Neurospora crassa OR74A: one gene and its partner. The protein of the gene in region 1 interacts with the protein of each later gene in a pairwise test. Links are inferred from orthologs where the notes say so. Each region holds a gene or a part of one and is shown in the gene's direction. Other genes may lie near its edges.

The links. The genes of interacting proteins can lie anywhere in the genome.
Region 2: the proteins of NCU00040 (region 1) and NCU03876 interact in binary tests that used the Saccharomyces cerevisiae proteins (3 or more experiments, as listed by UniProt). The link is inferred for Neurospora crassa OR74A from reciprocal best matches to the Saccharomyces cerevisiae genes RPG1 and TIF34.

Annotation. Positions count from the first base shown.
Region 1 is NC_026503.1:2,375,198-2,379,470, reverse strand, and holds the start of NCU00040 (eukaryotic translation initiation factor 3 110 kDa subunit), read left to right. Parts: upstream 1-1,473; 5' UTR 1,474-1,949; coding exon 1,950-1,952; intron 1,953-2,184; coding exon 2,185-4,273.
Region 2 is NC_026506.1:1,995,036-1,998,926, reverse strand, and holds NCU03876 (eukaryotic translation initiation factor 3 subunit 2), read left to right. Parts: upstream 1-1,346; 5' UTR 1,347-1,608; coding exon 1,609-1,658; intron 1,659-1,785; coding exon 1,786-2,383; intron 2,384-2,515; coding exon 2,516-2,908; 3' UTR 2,909-3,391; downstream 3,392-3,891. Other genes in the region: NCU03877 (C-1-tetrahydrofolate synthase), read right to left, coding at 1-303; crf4-1 (chromatin remodelling complex ATPase chain ISW1), read right to left, coding at 3,859-3,891. UniProt on the Saccharomyces cerevisiae protein: Component of the eukaryotic translation initiation factor 3 (eIF-3) complex, which is involved in protein synthesis of a specialized repertoire of mRNAs and, together with other initiation factors, stimulates binding of mRNA and methionyl-tRNAi to the 40S ribosome.

The DNA of each region.
Region 1 (4,273 bases):
AAGGGTCGGAGAAGGCGCAAATGGATCATTGACTGTCCCGAGGATTGAAGAGAGGGAGGAATTGCGGACAACGATGCCAGGAATGCTTAGGACCGACACACGATTGACGATTCCTAATAGCAAGTCTTGGGAAGAGAAGGGGCGCCCATATGGAAGTTCCTTCATTCCTTCAGTGCCACTGGCGGGCCCCGGACCGCGACGGGGGTCAGTGCGCAGCCTGTAGAACCAGTAGCAGCGCAGCAGGGAACGGTTCGGTAGGCGGGTGCAGTCCGTGCAATTCCCCAGCAGGCATGGACGCCCCAGTCTCCCCCTGCTTGGCCTGCTGCAGTGCTGCGCTTTTACCTGCACTTGCACTGCTGCAATGCTGGTCGCTTTCGGTGCTGCACTCCTCTTCTGGGCAGCCAAAGCAACCCAGGGCGACGAGGAAAAAAAGGGCCAAGTGCAAATGAGACGGACCAGGGGGTCGCTTAGCAGGGTTTGGTTAGATTAACTCGACACTAACTACGACCGTAGACGGAATGGGTGCAGACGAGTTAGTATCAAGACAAGATAGCAAGTATCACCACGAGCTCCGCATTCAGGATGAGGTGCCGGCCTCCCTATTGTCCTGCCCCATCCGTGCCATTGTGATTGACATTGTTGCAAGCTTCTGGAAGCGGGACTGGAGGTCAAGATCTAGGAAAAGAAAAGCACGATGGAGGCCGTTGAAGATGGACTGCTGCCACCGCCGCTGGATAGGCAGGGACAGGACTAGTCCGACCAACCGACGGGACCTTTTTTGGATCTGTCGGTGCTGCTGTGCATGAAAGCTGCAGCAAGAATGGCAAATGCAGGGCAGTCAGAACACGACGGGTTCCGCCCCCACTTTATCGTCCCCCCTTTGATGGTCTAGCGGAACCACCCCGGCTCAGCAGGCATCTCCGGACGGGATTGGGAATGGCGCCATTGGGTGGGTGCCCACTTGCTCCGACCGATGATGGACGCGAGCTTGAACGCTCTGGGTGGGACGACGAGGGTACAGAGGAGAGCCTCCTGTTTCTGCATGTATGTATGTATGTATGTATGTACACTACAGTAATCACAGACCGTGAAGTCCTATGCAGTTGCTGGTGTGCATTCAGCTACAGGAGAAGAGTTTGCAGCCACTCTAGCAGTTCAAGCAGCGATATCATATGCCTTTTAGGAGGATATATGTTCTTACTGGGGATTATCTTCTCAATACTCGACCGAAGTTCGCACCACGATTCTGTTCCAAGTTCCAACTAAGCCTCAAAGTGCAATTTCGTCGATGACAGCCGTGAGAAAGCTTGGCAAGACCGCCGACGGTCCGTCATCGGTCAAGGCGGGGGTCCGTGGCCCGGCAGAGAAGAACGCCCGTCGCCAGCGGGCTGGGAACTCGGGCACAAAGAAAGAACAAAAGCCGCTGTGCACACACACCATGGAGCTCCTTTCTAGTGTACACCAGACTGGACAGCACCAGACGCCAAGATGGCAGAACATCCCACTTGCCCTTTGCGACAATCCAACCTTTTTACCATTGTGCACAATAGCCTCACAGCAGATCACGGTTAAGATCAAGAAAATAATTGCATCTCAGTCAATCCCCATTGCTACAGAAGTGACCAAACATCCATTCGCACAACAACTTGCACTTCACGCCTCTGAGTTGTTGTCGCAGCGACGTGCTCGATAAGCTGCATCACGTGACTGTCCCGCATCATCCCAGCCCACAAAGTGCTCCTCAGCAAAATCGAGCCTCTAGCCTTGGCCAGGGCTTTTTTGGCTGGCAACGAACTGAACTTCTCCACGAGGCGAAAAAATCGTCCTGGACAGCGCAGCCTCAGCCAAAGTCTCCAGCATTTCTACGTGCTGCTTTGCGCGCCGCGTCCCCTATCACCACTTTATCCATATCTCCTCCAGATTAGCCAAGTGCCGAGGAGTTGCCCATCATGGTGAGTTGGGAATACAGCCATAGCCTTATGGTTATGGCTTCGAGTTCATATAATCTTCTGCCCCTCCTTTGACTGGAAAGCCAACTCCATCGTCACCTAACCTCATCACCGCCCACCCTGCCCTCCACCCCCCCCTTCAACCCTCGACCACCCCCGCTCCCCGCCTGTCCCGCTCACCACCAAGTGTCGTCGTGTGTTGTGACCCGTGGTGACCATTACTGATCATCAACAGCCTCCCCCACCTCACCAAAAGCCTGAGAATGTTCTCAAGCGCGCCCACGAGCTCATCGGGGTCAACCAGGCCCCCGCCGCCCTGACCCTGCTCCACGAGCACATCACCTCGAAGCGCTCCCGCAATGTCCCCATCGCCTCCCTGGAGCCCGTCATGCTCCTACTCGTCGAGCTCTCCGTCGAGCAGAAGAAGGGCAAGCTCGCCAAGGACGCCCTCTACCAGTACAAGAACATCGCCCAGAACACCAACGTCGCCACCATCGAGTTGGTTCTCAAGAAGTTCATCGAGCTCGCCGCCGAGAAGGTCACTGCTGCCCAGGCCAAGGCCGACGAGGTCCAGTCCAGCATCGAGGCCACCACCTCCAACATCGACGATCTCGAGGCCAGCGAGACCCCCGAGTCCATCCTGCTCGCTACCGTTTCCGGTGAGCAGTCTCGCGACCGCACCGACCGCGCTATCGTCACTCCTTGGCTGAAGTTCCTTTGGGAGGCTTACCGCACTGTTCTTGACATTCTCAGGAACAATGCCCGCCTCGAGGTTCTCTATCAGAGCACCGCTATGCAGGCTTTCGACTTCTGCCTCAAGTACACCCGCAAGACCGAGTTCCGCCGCCTCTGCGAGCTTCTCCGCAACCATGTCCAGACCGCCGCCAAGTACTCGGCCCAGATGCACGCCATCAACCTGAACGACCCCGATACTCTTCAGCGTCACCTTGAGACCCGTTTCCAGCAGCTCAACGTCGCCGTTGAGCTCGAGCTCTGGCAGGAGGCTTTCCGCAGTGTTGAGGATATCCACACCCTCCTCAGCCTCAGCAAGCGCCCCGCCAAGAACGTCATGATGGCCAACTACTACGAGAAGCTCACCCGTATCTTCCTTGTCGGCGAGAACTACCTCTTCCACGCCGCTGCTTGGGCTCGTTACTACAACCTCTTGCGCCAGTCTGCTGCTCTCATTGCTTCTGGCCACAGCAAGAAGGCTGATAACCCGGCTTGCAGCGATGCTGACCTCCAGAGGGCTGCCACCTTTGTCATTCTCTCCGCCCTCTCCATTCCCGTCATCAGCACCTCGCGCTCTCGCGGTGCCATGGTGGACTTCGATGAGGCCCGCAAGAACAAGAACTCTCGTTTGACCCACCTGCTCGGCATGGCCCAGGCTCCTACCCGTGCTGGACTCTTCCGCGATGCCCTTTCCAAGTCGCTTCTCCGCCGCGCCCAGCCCCAGATTCGCGATCTTTACAACATCCTCGAGGTCGACTTCCATCCTCTTTCCATTTGCCAGAAGATTTCCCCCATTCTCGCGGAGATTGGCGCCGATGCCGAGATGCAGAAGTACATCCTTCCTCTTCAGCAGGTCATTCTCACCCGCCTGTTCCAGCAGCTTTCGCAGGTGTATGAGACTGTCGACCTTGAGTTCGTCGAGAGCTTGGCTCAATTCCCCGAGCCTTTCCAGGTCACTCGCGGCACCATTGAGAAGTTCATTATGAACGGCAACAAGAAGGGCGATCTCGCCATCCGCATGGACCACGCCACTGGCGTTCTTAGCTTCGATGCTGATGTCTTCTCTTCCGCCAAGGCTGTCCACGCCGGTTCCTCTGCCGGCTCTGCCGAGAGCGAGACTGGCTCTGTACAGCGTCTCCAGAGCACTCCCTCCCAGATTGTGCGCTCTCAGCTCACTCGCCTCGCTGAGGCTCTTTACACCACCTGCCGCTATATCGATCCTAGCTTCAACGAGGCTCGCATCAAGGCTCGTGATGAGGCCCTTGCTCGTGCTAAGGCTGGAGCCGAGAAGGAGCACCAGGAGGTCCTTGCTCGCAAGGAGATCATCCAGACGCGCAAGGATAAGGCTTCTGAGGCTCAGGCCCAGAAGGAGAAGGAGAACGCTCGCAAGAAGCTGCTCCAGGAGCAGGCCCTCCAACAGGCTGAGGCCGCCCGTCTTGCCGAGGAACAGAAGCTCCGCGAGGCGAAGCGTCTTGCCAACGAGCGCGAGCAAATCAAGAGGAAGGAAGTTGAAGCCCTCCTCAAGGATATGAAGCTTGAGGAACTTCAGGGTGAGGACATCGAGACCCTTGACAGCAACAAGATCCGCATGA
Region 2 (3,891 bases), on another chromosome or scaffold:
CACTGGAGATAGGCGCCAATAACGGGATTTCTTAGGGCGGCTGCAGGTGGATCGCGGGGCGGCGGAGAAGTCAGTGGTACCAGCTGCAGAGGCGACGAAAGCCGAGGTAGAGCTCCGAGAGTCGGATTCCGTGCCCCACGACAATGTCCATCTTTTGAGCACGTCTTGTCCCGTATGCTCGACTTGAATGCGCCGCCGTGTGTTCAGCGACCCGTGTGCGGACAGGGATGTGAGACAGCTTCCGGCTCGACGCGACTTCCTTGACGTGGAAGACACCCTCTGGATGAAGCTGGAGATGGCCATGCCTACACGACGCAGACTGGTACTGTAGAGCTAGAAGAAGGGTGCAGTGGTCTTTCTGCGTGCGTGCTGTAACAACATCACACTGAACAGCAGCGGACGCAGGCTCGGGGTAAGGGATATTCAGAAGCTCAAGACTTCCGCCCGGCCAAGCTCTCTCGACGCCCCCGGGCACCTCCACGACGGGGTGGGACCAGACGGATTCGGGACCCAGGGGTTTTCTGCGCCGCACAGAAGAGTCACAATGGGTTCCCGCCTAGGTAGACGACGGGGGATCGATGTCGAGGATCCAATGATCGCCGGTTTGCTGGCGGGAATAGAGGTTTCGTGATTTGTGATTTTTTTTTCTTTTTTTTTTCTTTCTTTCCCTTCTCGAGGAGTCACCGAAGGTGAGCGTCTCAAGACGTGCCGCAAATGACCAGTGTAAATGTGACAACAAAACGTGAAGCCAATGAGATAACCTAAATAGAATAGAGCCCAAACCCAAGCTTCTCAAAATAGTACGTATTCACCATGCATTCTTGCAAGAATCCTACCATGTCTCGTTAGAAAAGCCTCTATTTCCGTCTACAAATCTCCGAGAGTTGAAGAACTTTTCCTCCTCGATGCGACCCCCGGAAGAGGGCATTCATATAACTGCAATTGAAGTGGGTGTCTAGATGCTGCATCCATGACTCTACAAGTTCTCGGCTTGCTGCAGGTAGCAGCTCGGATCATGATGTGCTCGCACTGTCCTGTCTGTGTCGTTGTTCTAGATTGAAGTTGGTGTGGCTTGCGGCCGCGGCACAGGCTTGACGAATACAGCTGACTCTTAAACTCTGAGTCACAGACTGAGCCACAACTTCTTATCGGTGGCTGTCGACGGGCCGGCAGGCTGCGAGCGGCGGATCGAGGTGGCAGGCTGCATCGCAAGGTCCAGAGTCCGGTCCGAACTGAAACCAGCAGCTTCAATGGATGGCACACGGCTGGCTGGGACGAGGGACTGGAGAGGGGCAGCTTGGCATCTGCAGGGATAGGTGTTGGTTCGCCCCGCGGCCGTCAGAATCCGCCAGAGCCAGCCAGCCTATCGCGCACAATCTGCGGAAAAATTACTGGGAGTGGAAATCCACCCAAAGAAAGAACACCAAAGACCGATCCGACGACGACGACCGCATCTACAAAGACACTAATCCACCCACCTACCTCCCAAGTCGTGCAACCCCCCCCCGCGATATTTCTCGACGACGAATCCACTCAGTGTCTTCTAACGACCATAACACTTCCATACCGCCGTCCACGCCTCGTCATATTTAATAACCCACAATCAAGATGAGGCCCATTCTTCTTTCGGGCCACGAACGTGCCCTCACCCAGATCAAGTTCGTCTTCCCTCCGCATCATCATCGCATACCTTACCCGCCGACCCGACCCCTCTTGGTGTTCTGGCTTTGGCATGTCGGGCATATAGAGATGCAGCCTCTAACAGCAACCCTTTACCCCCAACAGGTACAACCGCGACGGTGATTTGCTCTTCTCAGTTTCCAAGGACCAGCAGATTTGCGTTTGGTTCGCGCACAACGGCGAGCGTCTCGGTACATACCACGGCCACCAGGGCGCCATCTGGACCATTGATGTCGACCCCACATCCACCATCCTCGCCTCTGGTTCTGCCGACAACACCATCCGCCTTTGGGAGATCAAGACCGGCAGACTTCTTAAGACATGGGACTTCCCTACCGCCGTCAAGCGCGTTGAGTTCAGTGAGGATGGCAGCAAGCTTCTGGGTGTGACGGAGAAGCGCATGGGTCATCTGGGTACCATCGTTGTCCTCGACATCAAGCTCGATGTTGACGCCGAGCAGAGCGATGAGAAGGCCATGACTATCGTTTGCGAGGACAGCAAGGCCACTGTTGCTGGCTGGAGTTATCTCAGCAAGTACATCATTGCCGGCCACGAAGACGGCTCCGTCTCCCAGTTCGACGGCAAGAACGGCGACCTCCTCTACAACATCCCCATCCACGAGCTCAACCAGCCCATCACCGATCTCCAGTGGTCGCACGACCGTACATACTTCATTACCGCCTCCAAGGACAAGACCTCCAAGGTATGTCACATGGCTCCACAACCCCCCCCCCCCCCCTTTTTTTTTTCTTTCTTTGGTCTTCTTCCCGGATCCTTAAAACCGAAATCAATGAACAGTCAATCGCATGCTAACACTCCTTGATTATTTTCACAGCTCATCACAGCTAAGGACCTGGAGGTCCTCAAGACCTACCCCGCCGACACCCCTCTTAACAGCGCTACCATCACTCGCAAGAAGGACTTCGTCATTCTCGGTGGTGGTCAGGCTGCCATGGATGTCACCACCACCTCCGCGCGTCAGGGTAAATTCGAGGCGCGTTTCTACCACAAGATCTTCGAGAGCGAAATTGGTCGTGTGCGCGGTCACTTCGGTCCCCTCAACACGGTTGCCGCCGACCCGACCGGCAAGAGCTACGCCAGCGGTGGTGAGGACGGTTACGTCCGTATCCATCACTTCGACAAGGGTTACTTTGACTTTATGTACGAGGTCGAGAGGGAGAGGCAAAACAAGCTCAACCAGCAACAACAGCAGACCATTTCTGCCTAAACGGATCCCTTCTATCGACATCGATCGAAACTTTCGGACTTTCAGCAAGCAGGATCCGAGGAGGGGCGGCAGAAAGGGGCGGAAAGGCGATTCGCGGGACGAAATATGGGTGTCGTGTTATTGAGTTCAGGATTCTCTCGACTTGTCGGAGGAAGGAAATGAGCAAACGGGTTATTTTACATCGCGCGTCCAGGGATCCAACAATTTGGGGGAAATGGGCATTTCACAAACGGCGTTTTTTTCAGGCAACCTAATCTGAGAATTTGGGCGATTCCACCCAATATTTGGTGAAAAAAAAAGTGAAAAGGAGCAAAAATTGGAGCGATGAGGTGGTGCGGTTCGATGTGAAGCAAACGAACGAACAAGTGAGTCGCGCGGAGAGCGGATATGTAATTTCCATCTTGTCACGAAAGGAACCTTTGGTCCCTATCGAAGCACAGAAGAGTCATTTGTCATAGTTGAATTCGGTCGTTCTTCTGCTTACTATCTTGCGCAACCTCGTTCATGTGATATCAGATTGGACGTTATAAGTAGAGGTCTTTCGCCAATTGCTTACTCACTCCCTTATGGTCAATAAGAATCCAACACAAGTGGAAACAATAATACAGGGGTAAAGGAAGTACAAGACTGCGCACATCATGCCCTATTCATCCATCAGAGAACGGATTTGACCAAAAGGATATCTTTTGTTCCTCAGGTAGGCAGAGAAATCCCTCGCTAAATGACGGCAGGTGAGATAACCATCACCGAGACCGCAACATGAATACGACACAACGGAAACGCCGCGAGCCAACTGCATTAACCCTCCCTGGACTCTTCTCAGTGGTGAACCGAGCCCCTTCACCCAATCTAACCCAGTCATATGAAACGCAACTACAGCTTCGAATACCAAGCCAAGTCAATACATGTGCCGTAGCTTGTATTTTTGGTCTGGACCACCATCAGGCGGTCTACTTCTTCTTTCCCTTGGGGGCAGCCTTGCC